Elephas maximus indicus: one gene and its partner. The protein of the gene in region 2 interacts with the protein of the main gene of each other region in a biochemical or structural test. Links are inferred from orthologs where the notes say so. Each region holds a gene or a part of one and is shown on either strand. Other genes may lie near its edges. The genes, in order: ICAM1 and ITGB2.

What was found.
Region 1: the proteins of ITGB2 (region 2) and ICAM1 form a complex in vitro, tested with the Homo sapiens proteins (4 studies listed by BioGRID). The link is inferred for Elephas maximus indicus from reciprocal best matches to the Homo sapiens genes ITGB2 and ICAM1.

Annotation. Positions count from the first base shown.
Region 1 is NC_064821.1:28,382,484-28,393,837, reverse strand, and holds the start of ICAM1 (intercellular adhesion molecule 1), read right to left. Parts: upstream 4,316-11,354; 5' UTR 4,257-4,315; coding exon 4,190-4,256; intron 2,846-4,189; exon of another isoform or gene 2,768-2,845; coding exon of another isoform or gene 2,728-2,767; intron 2,353-2,727; coding exon 2,083-2,352; intron 1-2,082. UniProt on the Homo sapiens protein: ICAM proteins are ligands for the leukocyte adhesion protein LFA-1 (integrin alpha-L/beta-2).
Region 2 is NC_064820.1:229,366,593-229,377,483, forward strand, and holds the start of ITGB2 (integrin beta-2), read right to left. Parts: upstream 4,579-10,891; 5' UTR 4,470-4,578; coding exon 4,461-4,469; intron 1-4,460.

The DNA of each region.
Region 1 (11,354 bases), on a different chromosome or scaffold from region 2:
CCTCCCAGAAGTCCAGACTTCTGTTTTCTATATCCTTGGCCTGTTCACACACTCTCCATGGCTCTCCAGTGCCCAGGGAAGGAGAAGGTCCCAGCTCCTTGCCCTGGCATTCAAGGCCCTGCCAACCTCCAGCCACCCTGCTTAGGTTCAACAGATTCTCTCCCTCCCCACCAATGAGGATGTTTCCTTACTCTAGATCTTTTTTTTCCCCCTCACGCTAGCCCATTCCCTCTATCCAGAATGCCTGTCTTTACCAACTCGTACACATCCTTCAAGGGCTCAGATAGGGGTCGCCTCCTCCAGGAATGACACCTCTAACATTTAGGGCGATGCCTCAGCCCTCCAGGAATGTTCCCTCATGGTTAGTTGTTGATTTTTTAAATCATTTCTAATTATTGTTATAAGTAGGTTGACCTTAAACAGCCTTGTTGTTGTTGTTATTAGGTGCAGGACCCCATGTGACAGACTAGAGCTGCCCCACAGGGTTTCCTCGACTGGAATCTTTATGCGAGCCTATCACCAGGTCTTTCTCCCGGAGAGCCGCTGGGTGGGTCAGAACTGCAAACTTTTTGGTTAGCCAGCCAAGTGCTTAACCGTTGTGCCCTCATCTTTACACCCAGGTGGCCCCATTCACCTTTGACTCCCTTGCTACTGCATGCCAGCCATCTGCTCCACTTCACAGAGGAGGAAACTAAGGCAAGGTCATGAACACAGTCACTGAGGAAGAAAGGTGGGACAGCCAGGACTCAAACCCAGAGTGTGGGATCTCAATCACCACACTCTTTGTTTGAGGCCTTCTAGAAGGTTTCCTAGCTCACCAAGAGGGTTTTCAGAGGCCACCAGGAATGTCTGGGGACTTCCCTTGCTGGGAGGGTGACCAGCATCTGCTCAAACACCCCTGAGTCAGAAGCAAATCCAATATTGGCCTAAAGGCTTCCTCTGCCCAGACGCCAGGACTGTGGAGCACCTTTGCGCCTCACTACATTGTTATACCCCTTCGAAGAGGTCTCATGTGGCGGAGAAGGAAACCGAGAAACCGTTTGCCCATCGTCACCCAGCTAGTGACAACCCAAGGCTGTCTAATTTCAAGGTCTGTTCCCTCCCTCCCTTTCTCTTCTTTTTTATTTTTTTAAATTTGAATAATATCTATTTATTTTGCCTTTGGTAACTCATTCTCACAGTTCAAAATCCCCAATGTAGAAAAGGGCGCCCCCTCCCCTCTTCCCAGCCCCCTGTCTTCTTTTCTCACAGCCAACTAATATTGTTCCATTTCTTACATTTCTGTTCAGGACTCTTTCATGGATGAACACAGCCTACCCCCTCGCTCCTTAACAGAGGGCAGCATTCCACTCACACTGGGCATACCTTCAACCAAAAACCAAACCCATTGCCGTCAAGTCAATTCCGACTCATGACGACCGTTCTTTTATACGGCTGCATACTATTCCACGGCATGGCCAAACCACAGATGATTTCCACGGCCCCTAGATGTGCATGGTTTGCAAACTGTTCCCCTTCCAAACAAAGCGGCAGTGGACAATCTCTTCCTCCCACCAGCCCCCTCGAGGGCTAGGACACCTGTAGGACAAATTCTCAAGGGCGGGGTTTCTGAGTCGAAGGGCACGTGCGTGTGTTATTTTGAGAACTGACACCAAATCTCCCTTCACGGAGATGTGCTTCTTCCTACTCCCACTAGCAATGTCCCAGGGGTGCCTGCTCTCCCACAGCCTGGCCAGCACAGCTGCGATCACCTCTTCCAATGTTTCCCAATATGTGAAAAATGCCATCTGAGGGGGAGTTTTCATTTGCATCTTCTTTTTAAGAAGCAGACCCAGGGCCTTGCCATGTATGTGCTTCAAGAGTGAGCCACTGAGAGCCAGTTCTCTTAAGTGTGCCGAATCCCTGATGTCCTACGTACACTCGAGGTTCAGAGGGGCTTCTGAATGACACTGGGACTTTCCAAGGATTTCTGCATTCACTCTTCAGTGATACCCTCCCCAGCACCACCACCAAGCAACCAAGCAGCCTTTGTCCACCCCCTCCCCAGTCTGCCCAGTCCAGCCCCTGGGGCCAGCCACTTACCATACATGGTGATGGAAATTGTAGCTGTTTCCTGCTCAGGTGTATCGCCACAGGTTGCATAGCATAGCCCGCTACTGTCTTCTTGCACATCACTCAGTTCAAAGACCTTCCAGCTGGCCCCCTCAGAAACTAGCTTCTTGTTGAACACTGTCTCCAGGCCCACTTCTAAGTTGGATTGGTTACAGGTGGCACTGCAATTCACTACCACGGAGCCTCCTTGGTGCACGATGGCTTCTAGGGGATGCACTGATACTTGGGCACCTCCAGACCCTGGAACGAAAGGGTTGCTTGACTCTGAGGAGGGGGCTGGCATTAGGCATGAAGGGGCCTACTGTGTGCCCACCATGTGCTGGGTGCTGGGGACACAGCCATGAACAAAACTCCTTGCCTTCAGTGTGAGAGAGAAAAATCTGTGAGCAAACAAGCTAATTTCTGATGTTATAAGAGCTTTGATACAAACACAACAGGGCAATAGAACAGACAGTGCCTTTGTGACATAGTGAGCAGAGATCTGCATAATAAGGAGCTGACCATCCAAGGGAAAAAAAAAAATCCACTGCCGCTGAGTCATAGCGACTATACAGGACAGAGTAGAACTGCCCCATAGGGTTTCCAAGGGGCTCCTGGTAGATTCGAACCACCCACCTTTATGGTTAGCAGCTGTAGCTCTTAACCACTGACCCATCAGGGCTCCATCCAAGGAAAAGCGGTGTGAATTCCAGGCAAAGGCAACTTCAAGTGCAAAGGCCCTGAGGCAGGGTGGCTGCACCATAGCAAGCAAAGGGGAAGACTGAGCAGAAATGAGGTCCGGAAGATCACGTGGGCAGTGCAGGCTGCCCTCAGGATGTATTCTTTATTCTGAGGGAGATTTTGTGAGAATTTTAGCAGAGAAGGGACAAGCAGTCAGTGCCCTCCTCCCTCTCAAGAGGTCAGGAGGAAGGGGCCATCCCTCCAGGAAAGAGATGGGCTAGGCCAAGATGGAATGAGGTAAACAACAGAAACAAAGTCCAACAAAGGGCAGTTCAAATTGGGCTGGCTCCTCACTCCTTTGGCCAGTGATCTCCCCTCTCTGGGCCTCAATTTCCCTATCTGTAAGATAGGTGAGTATTGTCACCCCACCCCATGCTAATGCAAGTAACTCCTACACAGGGCAGGAAGCAAGGGGCTGTGGGTAAGAAGGAGGGGTGTTGTCCACAGACCCTGTCCACTTCATATCTGAAAAAATATCTGAGGCTACCCCCACATCCCTGCCCTTGCTCCAGTGGTTCCCTCAAAGCCTTGGGCCTGTCTTATCAGGGCTGGAGGCCTGTGAGAGCAGTGGCTCCAGAAATCCTCCGAGGGAGATTCTGAGTTCATTCCCATTTCAGGGAGAGAACCAGTGAGGCTTAGAGAGAGGAAGTTACTCAGCTAGAAAGCCTTAGAGTCCCGATTCAACCCTTTACCTGACAGGCTCCAGAATCAAGCTGGTAACCAAGGCGTCAACCTGCCACTCTCCTGCTGCCCAGCACCATCACCATTTGAGGCCCTCTGACTGCATTTCCGCCCACCCTCCCTATGGGGCTGAAATGGGGGGGGGCGGGGACGGGCCGCAGGAGCTCCTTGGTGTCTCAGCTCTGGCCCCTGGGCAAGTCAGCCCTGGAATTCCCCTGTGCAGAAACAACCCTGGACTTCCCCGGGGCAGGGGATGAGGAACAGAATGTGTGTGGGGGATAAGGGGGGGTCCCCGACCCTACTCAGCTTGGGTCTGGCCACGTCCCCATTTCGATCTGGTGGCCTCCTGGACCCAGGCGCTCTGCTCGGTCAGGCACAAAGCCTGCGACGTGGCCGCTAGAATCTTCCCCATTTGATGGTGAGAAAACTGAGCCTTCAGAGAGGCGCAGCTACAGCCTAAGGTCACACACACGGAGGTGAAGGAGGTCCGCATTTGAACTCACTGTTGACTTTCTCTCGGTGACTCTAGCCCTCCAGAAATGGTTTTCAGGCACCCCATCCTTCTATAAACCCGCTATCTGAGTAGGAACGGCCGGGAGCCGGTCCTCCCACCGCGCCCAGGGCGCAGCCCAGATCCCCGGAGCTGGTCCGACGGTTACTCTATACCCCGACTCACCTGGGAGCAGAGCCGCAAACAGGGACAGGAGCACCGCCAGCGAGGGCCAGGCGCCACAGGGAGCCATAGCGGGCGAGAGAGGCAGAGAGGACAACACCTAGGCGCTGGGTGCGCTGCGCGGACTGAGGAGCGAGGCAGCGCGCCCGGCCCTTTATAGTGCCCGGCTGCTGGGGCTCAGGGGGCGGTGCTGCCTTCCCGGAAACCTCGCGCTTTCTCCTCCCGACCTAGGGCTCAGGAATTTCCGGATTGAGAGGGTACCCAGCCCGAGCTGGGTCGTCCTCCCTGCTGGCCATCAAGCGCCCGAACTTCCAAGCTAAAGAGATTAGGGCGGCGGCGGAGGGATGGCGGGATGGTGGACTGGGAGCTGCCCCGGCCTCCAGGGGTCCTGTTCCCCCAGTCGGGCTAACCTGAATGCGGCGTTTACACCGCGCTAAGCTCTTTATCAAATACTTCCAACCATGCTGGAATGTAGGGACTGTTACTGTCTCCGTCTTACAAATGGGTAAACTGAGGCGCTGAGCTTAGAAGGGATTCGAACCAGGTCTAACTCGCCAGCTCGCGCTTTAACCGAGCGGATGAGCACAGGAAGGGACGTGGATAGGTGTCCAGGAATCTTCCTTAGGCGCTGTCCATTCAAGGGTGCCCCTCCCAAGGGCATGTCTGGGCCTCCCGTCCCAGCTGACACCGAGATTTCGCGACAAGTGGCCGCAGCAGGCCCAGGCACCTCGAGGCTCTGAGAATCCCAGGGGTGGTGGGTTCGTGAAGCCATCGCGCCCGGAGGGGGGGGTCGGCGTTCCCCCATTGGTACTCCCACACCAACGGCCTCGCTTCCCCTTTCGGCTCGTTCGCGGCGGCATCTTTACAGTTCCCAGAAGAAGGAAGGAAGCCGCGTGGGCTTTACGCACTGAGCCCTCCATCCCCGCCCCAGGCTCCGCAGGGAAACTCAGGCAGCAGCTCAGGCCTCCACAGAGGAGGAGAGAGGGGGCGCTCGAGCCCTTGCCTTAGGCAGGGAATCTGAGGCAGCCCCCTAGCCCCACGTGGGTCCGGAGTAAGGAGCGCTCAAACCCCGCCCCCTGCGCACGGCTAAACACCGACGTCTGCACTAAATATGTTCCAGTGTTTGCCTGGGCTGGCGCCAGTAGGACGTTTTGGAAAGGAGGTGATGTCTATAGGGGTCGGGGACCTAGTCTCGGAAGCGGGGAGTCACCCCTTCGGCCACGCCTGCCCGTGTGACCCCAGTGCCTGGCGTCTACCGCGTCCAGGCTGGGGAGGGGGGAGGCTCCCAGCGCTGAGCAGCGCCGCCTGAGGTTTCCTGTTGTGGGGCAAGCGCGGCGTCGCCATGGAGACATCGGAGAGGCCAGGGAGGTCGCGCAGCAGAAGGGGAAGGGAGGGGGCTGAGACTCATTCGCCGTCTAGAAATGCGCCCCTCCTTCGCACCAGTTGTTCCTAAGGAATTTCCACTGGGATCTTTCTGGTTGAGGGTTTGGGAGTGCTGAATCCCCGCCCTGTAACGGCCTGGGCAAAGGGGAAGGGGGTACCTGGGATGTCCCCGCGCCTTCGAAGGTCTGGGAAAATCCTGCGCCGCGGGGTTATTTTTTGGCGGACTTTCCTCTCTCCTCTCCAGGGGCTCGTCCTGGCCCGAAGCGCGCGGGCGGCGAGCGCCCCCTCGAGGCTCAAGTCCCACTTGCAGCCACAAAAATGTCCTTTTCTTTCCCAACAGTGTCTATTGAGCGCCTACCGCGTACTAAAGGAGCCCTGGTGGCGCAGTGGTTAAGCGCTGGGCTGCTAGCCGAATGGTCGCCGGATCAAACTCACTAGCCGCTCGGCGGGAGAAAGATGTGGCAGTCGTTGTTGGGTGCCGTGGAGTCCTCCGGACTCAGCGATCCTATGGACAACAGAAACACTGCCCCATCCTCACAGTGTTGCTATGTTTGAGCCCACTGTTGCAGCCACTGTGTCAGTCCATCTCATTGAGGGTCTTTCTCTCTTTCACTGACCTTCTACTTCACCAAGCTTGATGTTCTTCTTCAGGGCCTGGTCCCTCCTGATAACATGTCCAAAAACAAGTCTCACCACACCTGGCTTCTAAGGAGCATTCTGGCTGTACTTGTTCCAAGACAGATTTGTTTGTTGTTCTAGCTGTATAGTCAATGTTCTTTACCAACAGCATAATTCAAACGCATCAATTTTTCTTCAGTCTTCCGTTTTCATTGTCTGGCTTAGCCTTCAAAGTGACATCTTTGCTTTTGAAGACTTTAAAGAAGTCTTGTGCAGCAGATTTGCCCAATGCAATACGCTGTTTCTTGACTGCTGCTTCCATGGCCGTTGATTGTGGATCCAAGTAAAATGAAATCCTTGAGAACTTCCATAATTTCTCCTTTTATCATGATGTTGCTTATTGGTCCAGTTGTGAGGATTTTTATTTTCTTTATATTGAGGTGTAATCGGTACTGAAGGCTGTAGTCTTTGATCTTTATCAGTATTTCAAGTCCTCTTAGCTTTTAGTAAGCAAGGTTGTGTTACCTCCATATCATGGGCTGTTAAGAAGTCTTCCTCCAATCCTGATGCCTCGTTCTTCTTGGTATAGCCCAGCTTCTCAGTTTATTTGCCCAGCATACAGACTGAATAAGTATGGTGAAAGGGTACAACCCTGATGCACACCTTTCTTAAATTTAAACCACACGGTATCCCCTTTTCTGTTCAAACAACTGCCTCTTGGTCTAAGTACAGGTTCCTCATGAGCACAATTAAGTGTTCTGCAATTCCCAATACTCACAATGTTATCCATAATTTATGATCCACACAGTCAAATGTCTTTGCATAGTCAATAAAACACAAGTAAACATCTTTCTGGTGTTCTTTGCTTTCAGCTAAGATCCATCGGACATCAGCAACGATATCCCTCATTCCATGCCCTCTTCTGAATCTGGCTTGAATTTCTGGCAGTTCCCTGTCAATGTACTGCTGCAACTGTTTTTGAATTATCTTCAGTGAAATTTTATTTGCATGTGATATTACTGAAATTGTTCGATAATTTCCTCATTCTGTTGGATCATCTTTCTTTCGAATGGGCACAAACATGAATCTCTTCCAGTTGGTTGGCCAAATTTCTTGGCATGGATGAGTGAGCACTTCCAGTATTGCATCCATTTGTTGAAACATCTGAACTTGTATTTCATTAATTCCTGGAAACTTGTTTTTTCCTAATGCCTTCCCTGCGGCTTGGACTTCTTCCTTCAGTACCATCAGTTCTTGATCATATCCTACTTCCTGAAAGACAGGAAAGAAAGAAAAGACAAAAACGGGTGTCGGAAGAGCATCTGAAAGTTACTCTTGAACTGTAAAGTGAATGGAAGAAATGATGAAGTAAAAGAACTGAAGATTTCAAAGGGCGGCTCGAGAAGACAAAGTAAAGTATTATAATGACATGTGCAAAGATCCGGAGTTAGCAAACCAAAAGGAGAGAACATGCTCAGCATTTCTCAAGCTGAAAGAACTGAAGAAAAAATTCAAGCCTCAAGTTGCGATAGTGAAGGATTCTATGGGCAAAATACTGAACAAGGCAGGGAGCATCAAAAGAAGATGGAAGGAATACACAGAGTTACTGTACCAAAAAGACTTGGTTGAAGTTCACCCGTAAAGATTACAGCCTTGGAAACTCTATGGGGCAGTTCTGTTCTGTCCTGTCGAGTCACTATGAGTCAGAATCAATTAGATGGCAATGGGGTTGCTTGTAGGTACTGTGTACTAGGCGTGGTTCCAGGTGCTGAGGACAGAGCAGTAGATGAAATGGACGAAAACCCCTGCCATCATGCAGGGATCATCCAAGTGGAGATGATAGACAAGAAACAAAAATAAAATACAGAGAGTGTTAGTTGGTGATTGGTGCTAAGGAGAAACATAAAGTTCGTGGATCTTTTGGTTAGCAGCCGAGCTCTTAACCACTAGGCCACCAGGGCTCCATAAGATGGGGGAGGGGATTGGAAATGTGAGGTTTAAAGAAATTTTAAATAGAGTAATCTGGGAAAGAATCACTGAGAAGGTGACCTTTGAGCAAAGGTGAGGAGGGAGCCATGCCATCCTCTGGGGGAAGAATGCACTAGGCAGCGGGAACAAGGCCCTAGAGTGAGCTGGAGCCAAGGACAGTGAGGAGGCCGGTGATGCTACAGCAGTGAAGGATGGGGACTAGGGGAGGAGGCGAGAGCCAGGGGAGGAGGCAAGAGCTGGGAGGTGATGGGGCGGGGGGGGGGGCGGGGAGGGGCGTGGATTGTGTGCGGCCTGGAGGACTTTGGCTTTTACTCTGAATAAGGTGGGTGCCATGGAGGGTTCTGAGCAGACGAGGGACATGCCCTGGCTCAAGTGTTCACAAGTACCCTCTGGCCATTTTAAAAGTTACCATCAGGGGGTGGGAGGGACAGGGAGGAAACCAGGGGAGACCAGAGAGGAGGCGACAGCTCTAGTCCAGGCAAGTGTTGATGGGGGCCTGAACTGGGCCGTGGTGGTGGAGAAGTGGTCTGATTCTGCATCCATTTTGGAGACGGGCAACTGGACGTGCTGGGACATGGCGGGTGGGGCAGACTCAAGGTCAGCTCCTTGGTCCGGGTCTGAGCTCCTGGGAGGAGGGAGGGCCATTTCCTGACATGGGGATGAGGTAGTCTTGGGGGGCAGGCTGGCAAGGGGAGCGTGCACCCCCATTTACATTTCCCTGAGGAAGAGGGAAGCTGATTTCCTCAGCACTCTGCTGCTGTCAGGAAGGGTTGGGCTTCCTAGAGGGTGTCAGACAGTCTTGGGCAGGGCAAGAAAATGACCCACGGCAGAACAGAGGCTAAAAACACTGAGCAGAAGCATCTGAAGCCCTCTAAGGCCTTACGCCTGTCCTCCCCACACTGAACTCTGGTGTGATGGCCTTGGAATTCCCTCAGCCTTGAATGATCTTCCTCTCATCTGTGACGTGGCCAGCCCCTCCCTTCCGTGGCTCGAACCTTCCTGGATTCTCCCCCATCCTCGGCCGTACCCTGGTCATTCCTTTTCACTTTTTTTTAATTTGTTTTCATTATGAACTCATTACTTGCTGAAGTCCCTTAGATTTACCTGATTGTCTATTGCCTCCATTTCTGTGATCCTCAGGAGGGGAGGGAGCCTGTCAGCCCCAGCACCGGCTCAGTGGCTGGCCTCTGCAGACGGGATCGATACATATTTGTTGAATGAATTAACTTCTCTTGCTTCTGAGCATTCTGTACATGCTGTTCCTCCAGCCTGGAATTCCCTTCCCACTGCTTTTACCAAAGGCCCTGTTTTAGTTATCTTTTTTTTTTTTTTTTTAGTGCTGCTATAACAGAAATACCGCAAGTGGATGGCTTTTTAAAAAAACAGAAATTTATTCTCTTGCAGTTTAGGAGGCTAGAAGTCCAAATTCAGGGTGCCAACTCCAGGGGAAGACTTTCTCTCTCTGTTGGCTCTGTGGGAAAGTTGTCATCAAACCTTCCCCTGGGTCTAGGGGTTTCTCAGCGCAGGGACCCTGAATTCAAAAACACGCTCCACTCCCCGCTTTTCTTTCTTGCTGGTAGGAGGTCCCTCTTTCTCTGCTGGCTTCTGTCTCCTTTTATCTCTCATAAATAAAAGGTGATGCAGGCCACACCCCTGGGAAACTCCCCTTACTTTGGATCAGGGCTGTGACCTGCGTAAGGGTGTTGCATCCTGCCCTAATCCTCTTTAACATAACTTAATGTTGCCTCATTAAGCACAGGCAGAGATAAGGATTTACAACACATAGGAAGATTACATCAGATCATAAAATGGAGGACAACCATACAATACTAGGAATCATGGCCTAGCCAAGTTGACGCACATTTTTGGGGGACACAATTCGATCTGTAACAGGCACCCAAAGGATGGGTTGGGAGGCAGGGTTGGAATGAAACGGGGTTTGGCACACGAGATTTGATCAGGTTGGGGTTTGAATCTAGGCTTTTTTACTTACCGGCTGTGTTTTAGCTTACGTTTCCCCCCCAAAGCAGACCCTGAGACAAGGCTGAGACTGCAGATTGTTTATCTGGGAGGTGATCCCAGGAAGAACAGGGGTTATGCTGTGTAAAATAAGCCAGCCACGAAAGGACAAATACCATATGATTCCATATACATGAAAAAGGCAAATGCAAAGAGACCAAAGCTTATTAGTAGTTACCGGGGGTGGATGGGAGGGGTTGTCATTGCTTAGGGGACATTGAGTTTCTGTTAATGGTGATGGAATCATTGGGAAAAGGGTAGTAGCCAAGGTTGCACAAGTTGATGAACGTAAACAGTGTCACTGAATTGTACATGTAAAAATTGTTGAATTGGCAAATGCTTTGTTCTCTACGGAAACCCTGGGGGCATAGTGGTGAAGCGCTACCACTGGTAACCAAAAGGTCGATGGTTCTAACCCACCAGGTGCTCCTTGGAAACTCTGTGGGGTACTTCTACTCTGTTCTATAGGGTCACTATGAGTTGGAATCTACTCGACAGCAATGGGGTTTTTTTTTGTTTTGTTGTTATATACATATTTACCACAATTAAAAAAAAAAACCAGGATGGTTATACTTATGAAATTTCACTCAGATGGTTCTTACACAAAGCTCTGTGCAGCTCAGCAGAGGGAGAGCCATCCTAGTGGTTACTGTTAGCCTATTTCCCTTGGGGTTCAGCTTGAGAGTCTCACCCCAAACTCTCTAGGCAGAAATATGCACTTCCCACAGCCCTTGTTCACACGAGGATCATAATTCCTCCTAATAGGCCTAGGGTGTAAAGTAAACATTCATGACGTGTGGATTTTTTATCAAACAAAACCTTGCTCCTCCCTCTGCCCCTTGAAAGCTATTCTGTGGTAGAAACCTTGCCCCGCCGCCGACTGAGAATGCTGACAGACCCAGGAGGCAGGTCAGCATCACCTTCAAACCTTTGAACTGGACTTTGTGGTGGATTCCCCAGCCCCACCCCAGGCCTCTCCAGGTTGGAGGCCTGGGTGGGGAAGCCAGTCGGCTCCTCTGCTGTGCCCTCTCTTCCTGCCCCCCGACCAACATCTGGAACCTTCTGCTGGGGCTGGCAGGTACAGGGAGAAGGGGAAAGGGGACAGTGCAGCTCCTCCTTGCTGGTGGCTTCACACTCTGGGTGCCCCAGGTGTATCTGG
Region 2 (10,891 bases):
GGAGCACTGACTTAGAATCTACCCGCTATATGACCTTCCTGGCGTGGCAGTTACAAGCTATTGCCATTTTTTTAGGTCTGTGCACAATATTTTTAGAGCCATGTGCAAAAACTCATTCACTAAAATTAGTGGACTGCACACACATCACAAGACTGAAGATCCTCTCCTTACTGCTTGTGCATATGTATGTCACTCCCTATAAAAGGAGCAAATCTGCCCCGGTTCAGGGAGCTGGCAGCCTTAGGTCATGAGACCCTGCCTATCTCCCAGTTTCCAAACCGTGAATAAACCTTTCTGTTCTTCCAACCCTGTGTCTGGCTGACTTCTATTCACTAGTCTGCTTGACAAGAACCTATTAGTTGACAGCTTCAAGTTGGAGTTTAAATAACTGGCCAGCCCTCCTCTCCCACTTCACAGGTGGGGAGGCGGTGTCCTGGGGAGGCTGGCTTCCTGCTGGTCTATGCAAACCCAGAGGGTGCAGACAGGAAGTTGGCAGGGCAGTTCCTCTGCAGAGTTCCCTGCAACCACAGTGGGCCTCAGGTTTCCCTTTCCTTTCCCCCACAGCAGCTCTTTCCATGGCATGCGTGACGCCCCTACCTGGTACATGTCCTGCGTTACATGCTACATTTGCAGCATTTAATTTGGGAGAACTTAGGGCAGGGATTCCTGCCCCACATTTCAGAGGAGACACCAGAGCTCAGGGGAGAGGCATCAGGTTGCCCAGCTCAGCTATGCCCTCAGGAAATACCTGGCTCCATCTATGGCGATTCACTTGTGCTGGGCAAGGCCCTGGGTTGGCAGTGCATCTCTCCTGCCAGTGCTGGTCCCCAGGATTTGTTTTCAGGCTAGAAACAGCAGTGGCGCGTCCTGAGCTGCAGACTCCCCTCCCTCGCCCCTCACTGTGCTGCCCTGCTGGAGGCCACAGCCCTGAGGCCTGGCATCCCCAGGGGACTTCCGGAGGGGGTGGGCATCTGACCATGTCTGCTCAGAATGTGGTGCCAGCGGGGTCCTGTGTGGTGACCTTGGCTAAAGATCTCAGCCTCTCGTCCCAGAAACACAGCCAGGACCTCCAAACCGTGGTTGCAGGGAGTGAGGTTGTGGTGAGGGGCCCCTTTAAAAAATGAAGCCGTTAGGTCGCTTCTCTATAAAGCTGCTGGGGTGACTGAGCTGCCCAGAAGCTTCTGAGCAGTTTTTTCTCATTAAGGCCCCAGCGCACAGCCTCCTTGCACTTGGACAGACGCCAGGACACGATCCAGGAGGGACATACTGGTGACGCATCCCATCTCCATTTTTCCCACCCCCCATCACAAGGCCCCACATTTCTCTACCAGGTATTCCGGGGCCAGAGGACAGGGTGCACTGCGCTCGAGCGTCTCAGAGCGTGCAGGGAGCCTGGCTGGGGACAGTAGTGGTGGATCCACCCCCAGTCTGGGGAGGAGAAAGAGGAAGGGCAAGGAAAAGAGTTGGCACCAGGATATGGGTGGTGAGAGGGAACGTAGGTGTGTATGGGGGCTGCCCCCAAGAAATTAGTGTCCAGGTGGGGCCCCAGGGGTGTGTCTTCCACCCTACGCTCTACCTCCAGGAGCCTTGTGCCAGGAGGGAGGTCAGGTCCATTTCTGAGCACTTTGCCTGAAACCATTTGGACCAAAATCACAGACCCAACATCAGTTCCCCTAAAACTCAATTTTCCTTGAGTGTTTTTACTTGAATCATCAGGCCAGTGGTCCTAAACTCACCCAGAACATGCATGCATGCACATGCATACCCTATACCACTCACGGTCACTCACACACACCACACAGACCACATGTAAATATTTACCACACAGACTACACACACACGCACACCATACAGACCACACATATTCACCACACAGACTACACACACGCACACCATACAGACCACACACACACCACACAGATCACACATAAATATTTACCACACAGGCTACACACACACACACCATACAGACCACACACACTGCACAGACTACACACACACACCGCACAGACTACACACACACACCGCACAGACCACGCACACATATTCACCACACAGACTACACAGACCACACATACATTCACCACACAGACCACACACACACGCACACCATACAGACCACACACACACCACACAGATCACACATAAATATTTACCACACGGACTACACACACACACACACACACACCATACAGACCACACACACACCACACTGACTACGCACACACACCCCGCACAGACCACGCACATGTATTCGCCACACAGACTACACAGACTACACAGACCACGCACATATATTCACCACACAGACTACATACACACACACCACACAGACCGCACACACATTCACCACATAGGCTACACACACACGCATACGACACAGACCACGCACATATTCACCACACGGACTGCACATACAACACCACACAGACCATACACACATATTCATCACACATACCACACATACACACAACACCACACAGCCCATACATACATATTCACCACACATACTACACACACACTGCACAGACCACACACACATATTCACCACACAGACTACACACACACATAAACCATATACGTACATTTACCACGCATACCACACATACATACACCACCACACAGACCATACACACTGTTTACCACACATACTACTCACACACAACACCACACAGAACATACACACATATTTACCACATATACCACACAGACCACACACACATATCCACCACGCATACTACCCATGCATGCAACACCACACACATATTCAGCACACATGCCACACACAACACCACACCCCACTCACACACATGCGTACACAACACGTGTGCAAACACCACACACAGACCACACACACAACACTTATAGTCACACGCCACACCTGCATACAACATACACACATACAACATACGTAATCCACATATACCATACTACAAACACACCACTCACAATCACACACACACCACGCATATACAAAATTCAAACAGTACATACACACACACCCCACAGGCCACACACACACTTACACACCCATCCACCACACATACTACACACACACAGTACCACACACATAACGCGTGTACAAACACCACATAGAGACCACACACACAACCCTTACAGTCATACACCACACACACATACAACACACATACTCCACACATACCATACTGCAAACATACCACTCACAATCACACACACACCATTCAGGCCACACACACTTACACACACATATTCACCGTGCATACTACACACACACAACACCACATACCAGTCACACACATGCCATACATACAACACAGGTACGAACACCACACACAGACCACACAGGCATTATAGTCACACCACACACGCATACAGCACATACATTCCACACATACCATTCTACAAACATAGCATTCACATCCACACACAGACCACCATATACATCACAAACACACAACACACACACACACAGTTGACATACCACACATATACACCACACACACACACACACAAACACACACACGCACTGCAGCAGAAGTGGTCTCACTTTCGACAGCCATCTTCTCTGCCTGAGGAGAGACAAGCAGGCAGGCTGGAAACACAGGATGTAAACACTGCTGTTTCCTTCAGAAGAAAACTCAGGAAATGTGCCAGCCAAACGCACCCTGGGCACCTACCATGGGCATCTGCTTCACAGACTCCATGCCCTCCCTCCTATGTGCCAAGAGTCTTGCTTACAAAGACCCCCTTTCCCAGAGCTCCGGGAACAGCTGAAGGGTCCCAGGCATGCTGCCCACTGCCATCTTCAGATACCTATCTGTACTAGAGCTTGACGCAGAGCTTTGGTTTGGAAACGTAAGTCATCACAGCTAGCAGTGGTGGGCTGAGGAGAGTGGGGGGATCTGTGAGGCAGGAACAGAACAGTACAGCTGGAGACTCCAGGGACGACTCCTGCACAGCCCAGTGGAAGCCACACACACACCAGCCTGGGGGTCTTTCCTGCTCCCATGAGCCTCCTGGCTCTGCTGGGCCTTGAAGCCCCCACATCCCTACTCCCACACCCCCTTGGCAGCTCAGGAAGTGTCTGTGGTGTGTTGAAAGACCTTAGACCCAGGCACCAGAGCCTGTCTTCTGTCTGGGTTCTCCCCGCTGTGCTGGGCCCCAGTTCCTGCTCAGTAAACTGAGGTCCCCAGCACCCTGGGTAGCCCTGCCTGTGGGCTTAGCATTTCCTCTCTCTGGGTCTCAGCTCTCTTTTGGTAAGAGGGGCCAGAGTGGACAATCCCAAGATCCTCCCTGGCCAGTGATGTAGACTGAGGCCACCAGGGTCCACTCCAAGGCTGGGGTCACTTGGAACTACTTTCCTTGAGAAAGGCAGCAGCTGATTCCTCATGGAAACGCCGCAGGACTAAGTATTTCCCCTTAAAAAAAAAAACAACAACAAGCAAACACAGAAACAGAGGCACAGTCCATCCACTCACCCCACTCATGTCCTAGATCCCTGGCACTGCGTGTCCTGGCTTGGTTGGGGCAGGTTGAGCTGTGATCTTCTCAGGCTGGTCCACTGTCACATCGGGGAAAAGACACTGCCCCTGATGCTTCCTGTTCTAAGTCGGGTGCCACAGAGGAAGTTGAACTACATGTGGTTGATTGCACCACACATTGGTGATAATCTCCATCTCCTCTCTGCTCTGCACCTGCTCCCAATGGAGGGAAGTCAGAGGAGCAACCATGCAAGACAGAATGGGACCTGCAACTCATGTGTACCTGCATAACAAGAAGTAGGTAAGAATATGAAGTGAGGGGCAATTTTGGGGGACAGGAGTCTATGGCAGCAGCAGGAGCCCAACTACTAAGGGACCAGCCTACCATAGAGGAGGTGGTTCATGCTCTGCAGGGGATGGGGAACCACAGGGAGCCATATGCAGGGGAATGACCCCATTGGGTTCTCATTCAGGGACAGGGGATCTGGCCAACAGACTGAGCACATAGGCAGGAGGAGAGTGTTCAAAGAAAAGAACTGTCAATCCAGAATTTTACATACAGCAAAAATATTCCTTGCTAACAAAGAGGAAATAGACATTTTTGGATAAAGGAAAACTAAGAAAATTGGTGGCCACAGACATGCTCTAAAGGAAATGCTAGGCAGAAGGGAAATTATCCCAGAGGGAAACTTAGAAATGAAGGAAGGGCAACAGAAATGGTAAATATTTAGATAAATATATATAGACTATTTTTTTTTAAGTTCTTTAAAATACATTGAAATCAAAAATCATAACATTGGTGGTAGAACTTTCACTCTGTGTGGAGGTAAGATATATAACAACTACAGCATAAAGGGAGGACAGTAAAGGAATTTATGTAATTGTAAAGCTTCTCTGCAAGTAGTAAAATAGTAAATAAGTAGACAACGAAGTGTTAACTATGTATATTATAATCCCTAGAACAACCACTAAAAAAAAAAACTATTCAAAGAGATACAGTCAAAAAGCTAATTGATAAATTAAAATGTGATACAAAAAAAATGCAAGTAATCCAAAAGAAAGCAGGAGAGGGGGGAACAGAGGAATAAAAAACAGAGGGGAAAAACAGAAAACAAACAAAAAAATGAAATAATAGACCTAAATCCAAGCATTTCAGTAATTACATTAAGTGTAAATGGTCTAAACACACAAATTACAAGACAGATATTGCCAAGTGGATTTTTAAAAAAGGACCCAAACACTTTAAATGTGATAACATAGGCAGGTCAAGAATACAAGGATGGTAAAAAAAATATACTGTACAAACACTAACTCAAAGAAAATTAGAATGACTATATTAATATCGGAACCCTGGTGGCGCAGTTGTTAAGAGCTTGACTGCTAACCAAATGTCAGCAGTTTGAATCGACCAGCTGCTCCTTGAAAACCCTATGGGGCAGTTCTACTCTATCCTGTAGGGTCACTACGAGTCGAAGTCGACTTGACAGCAATGGGCTTTTTTTTTTTTTTTTTTTTAATTAATATCAGACTAAGCAGACTTCACAACAAGGAAAATTGCCAGGTATGATAAAACCAAAACCAAATCCATGACCATTGAGTTGATTCCCATTCATAGCAACCCTATAAAACAGAGTAGAACTGCTCCATAGGGTTTGTAAGGAGCAGCTGGTGGGTTCAAACCGACAACCTTTTTGTTAGCAGCCGTAGCTCTTAACCACCGTGCCACCAGGGCTCCACTACAAAATGATAAGAGAGTTAACTCAGTAAGAAGGTATAACAATCCTAAATTTGCATACATCTAAACACAGAGTTTCAAAATACATGAAGACAAAGCTGAAAGATCTAAAAGAAGAAATAGGCAAGCCCACAGATATGGCTGGAGTAATCAATAAAAAAAGAAAAAAAAGCAGAAAATCAGCAAAGCGTATAGCAGACCTAAGCAACAGCATCAAACAATAAGACCTAAAAAAAAAAAAAAAAAATTATGGAACACTCCACCCAGCAACAGCAGCAGAATATACACTATTTTTAAATGCACAGGACACATTCCCCAAGATAGACAGTATCTTGGGTGTTATGGATTGAATCATGTCACAAAAAAAGATATGTTCAAGTCTTATCCTCTATACTTGTGAAACAGGGTCTTTACAGATACAATCAGTTAAGATTAGATTGCACTGGAGTAGGGTGAGCCCTAGTTGATATTATTGGTGTCCTTATAAGAGGAAGAGAAGAGACACAGACAGAGACACACAGAGGAAAGATGAGCATATGAAGATGGAGGCAGAGATAGGAATGATGAATCTACAAGCTAAGGATTGCCAGGAACCACCAGAAGCTGGAAGAGGCAAGGAAAGATTCTTCCCTAGAGCCTTCAGAGGAAATATGGCCCTGCAGACATCTTGATTTTGAACTTCTAGATTCTTGAACTGAGAGACAATAAATCTCTGTTGTTAAAGTTACCCACTTTGTGATACTTTGGTATGGCAGGCCTAGAAAACTAGTACACTGGATCATAAAATAAACCTTAACAAGTTTAAAAGAATGTGAATCATACAAAAATATGTTCTCTGTTCATAATTGAGTTAAACCAGAAAGATATTGGTGACATCTCTAACTAAAGAACACATTTCTAGTGGAAGCCTCAAGTGAAAATAGAAAATACTTTGAACAAAATGAAAATACAGCATATTAAATTTAGTGGAATGAAGCCAAAGCAGTGCCTAGAGGGAAATTTATAGTATTAAATTCATATATTAGAAAGACAACCATATGAATGAATCTGTAATGCATCCTGCTAAGTGAAAGAAGCTGTGAGGGAATACAGAGTCCAGCAAAACACAGAGAGAGGCTTCACAGACATGGGGGTTACATCAAACTACAACGAGAAGCGTGAGGTGTTGTTTAATGGGCACAGTGCTTCTGTTTGGGGTGATGCAAAAGTTTTGAAAATATTAGTGATAATTACACAACATGGTAAATGTACTTAATGCCACTGAATCATACACTTAAAAATGATTAAAATGGTAAATTTTGTTATGCATATTCTTAGTCATCTAGTGGTGCCATAACAGAAATACTGCAAGTGGATGGCTTTATCAAAGAGAAATTTATTTTCTTATAGTCTAGTAGGTTACAAGTTCAAATTCAGGGCGTTGGCTCTAGGAGAAGGCTTTCTTTCTGTCATCTCTGGAAGAAGGTCTTTGTCCTCAACCTTCGCATGGTTGAGGAGCTTCTCAGGCGCAGAGACCCCAGGCGCAAAGGACTCGCTGTGTTCCTGGTGCTGCTTTCTTGGTGGTGTGAGGTCCCCAACTCTCTGCTTGCTTCCCTTTCCTTTTATCTCTTGAGAGATAAAAGGTGTTGCAGGCTACACCCCAGGGAAAATTATTTTACATTGGATCAGGAATGTGGCCTGAACAAGGGTGTTACATCCCACCCTAAACCTCTTTAACCACAAACAGAGATTATGATTTATAATACATAGGAAAATCACAAAATGGAGGACAACCACACATGGCCTAACCAAGTTGACACATATTTTTGAGGGGACACAATTCAATCCATGACATATATTTTATACATTAAAAACAAAAACAAAAAGCAAAACTACGAGTTACCATTTTCCAACTATCATATGTGGAGGGCAATTGGTTTCATGACTGTCAGTGTCTAGCAGGTTGTTGTACTATGGGAGCTGGCATGTTGCTGTGATGCTGGAAGCTATGCCACTGGTATTTCAAATACCAGCATGGTCACCTATGGTGGATAGGTTTCAGCAGAGCTTCCAGACCAAGGCAGACTAAGAAGAAAGGCCTGGCAATCTACACTCAAAAATTAGCCAATGCTAATAAAAATATATATATATTTTTTTAATGTTATGGATCACAATGGAATATTGTCTGACTTGCTTGCTTTGGACATGTCATCAGGAGGATCAATTGCTACAGGAGGATATCACGTTTGTTGAAGCATAGGGCCAGCAAGGGTGAGGGAGCCCCTCGGTAAGACGGATTGGCACGAGAGCAGCAACGATGGACTTGAACATGCCAGTGATTGTGAGAATGATGCAGGACCAGGAAATGTTTTTGTTCTGTTGTACATAAGGTCATCATGAGTCTGAGCTGACAGCAGCTATCAATCTATTCTCAGCCGACCCATTTCCTGCTATCTACCATGAGGAGAAATTAAGTGTTTGTGGATCTTTATTGTGGCATCCTTTGTCTAAATAGTCATTTAAAAGCTCATGTAAAATATATGTCTATCAACAGGCAGATGGCTAAATAAACCATGGTGCCATTCTATGGAACACTATTGAGTAGATGGAAAAAAATGGGGACAGGTGTTTGAGCCGGCAGCAGTCCTTAAAGATGCTGTTAAGCAAAACAAAGTCAGCTGCAGAGCAATAAACACAAGACGGTACCATTCATACTGTGAAAAGGTTAAGCACGCATTATAGTGGTTATGTTTCTCAAAATGGATAGAGAGATGTCTGAGAAGATACAGACACATGACAATATGGGTCACTGCTCCAGAGCAGACTGAGAGTTGCTCGCGGGTGAGAAGGGTGGTTAAGAGACCTTGCTCTATGCACATCTGAATCTTTTGGAAAGAGGATGTACTTATGCGTTTCTTTCACCGTGTCAAGAAAAAGATCATTCTGGCAGATACAGATGGGGGCATCATTATGGATTGAATTGTGTCCCCAAAAAGATGTGTGGAAGTTCTAATCCTCTGTGAACGTGACCTTGTTTGGAAATAGGGTCTTTGAAGATGTCACCATTTAACAAGCAGTCATATTGAAGAAGAATGGGCCCTAATCCTATATGACTTTTATCCTTATAAAATTGGAGAAAATACAGAGAGACAAGGAGACAGAGGAAGGGTGCCACGTAACGCTGCAGCTGCAAGTCAAGAACACCTAGGATTACAGTAACCCGACCCTACAAATGCAAAGGATGCAGCAACAGGTGGACCGAATCAGAAGGAAAATCATCACCCAGACCCTATTTCGAAGGAGAGGTCTGACAAGAAGCATGTCACCTCCTGTTTCCTAGATGCCTTCTAGAGTTTCCCCTCCCCAGAACACCTGCGTGGCCACCATCTTGCTGCCAAAATCATATGTAAGCCCTGCCTACCCATAGCTCGGGGAGCCAGATCTGAGGAACCTCCTCCTGGCTCCTTGCTCTGGGCATTGCAATAGTTACTTTCTCTTTCTCAAAGATCGGTGTCCAGATAATTGGCAAGTCTGAGTGCCCTGGACAAGGACCCACCTTCCCGGGTTCAGTAACAATTTTGGTGCCCAACGTGGGGCCAGAGGGTCACACAGACCCTTTGTCCGGAGCCCGGCACTCCCTCAACTGTAAACGGAACCTCCACTGACCCTTGGTGTACACCGAACCTCTTGTTCAGGAGGATCAGGTAGGTCTCCTCACCAGGACTGAGGTGGTGACCAGCCTAAGGTGATTTTACTTTGAGAATTAGACACTAACTCACGTATAGACGTCCACTAGGTAAGAGCCCCAGGAATTTCTCTTGTTAAGTGTAAGTGCTTGGAATTGGAGTTGCGGAGGCACGTGGAGGATTGAAATAGGCCTAAGATATCCCCGTTAGGGGACAAAGAGACTCTGCTAAGATCATCCTTGTTACTTCGCCACTCCTCCAGACGGCAGCAGAGAATGGGCACCCTAATTTCTGGTTGACTGCAGTCCTGGTTCTGGTTCTGAGGTAGGGAGGTATCTGGAGGATTGAAGTAGGACTAAGATGTCCTGATTAGGGGGGACTGAAGCCCTACTAAGATCATCCTTATTATCTTGCCCCACCACTCCCCCTAGCCAATCGCAGAGAATGGGCAGCCTAGTTTATGGTTGCTGACTTTGGTTAAGTTCAGGTTCTGGTTCTGTTTCTGAGAAAGAGTATTGTGTGTGTGTGTGTGTGTGTGTGTGTGTGTGAAATATGGGAAACAAACCTAGGGTCCCTGAATGTTCCCCCTTAGGTTGCATACTTAAAAATTGGTCCTTCTTTAGTTATGAACTTATGGAGAAGGGGAACCTTGTTTTCCTTTGTAACACTGCCTGGCCCCAGTACCAGTTGGAGTCAGGCGAAAAGTGGCTTCAGTATGGGTCACTTAGCTATTTAGCCATTTTACAGTTAGGTCTGTTTTGCAAAAGAGGGAGAAAATGGGATGAAATTCCCTACATGCAAACCTTTAAGCCTCTCTGACAGAATAAGAACCTACAAAAACAGTGCAAACTAATGATGCAGGCAGCTGGGAGAAAGGGAATGGGAGATAGGATGTCCCCAGTCCTTCCAGACTCAGACAGTAATCTGCACCCCTTCAGTCTCTTATCTCTACCTGTGCCCCCTCCTCCTCATCCACCTGGAGGTGCAGGCCTGGTTCCTGATCTAGCCCCGGCTCCACTGGCCCTTGT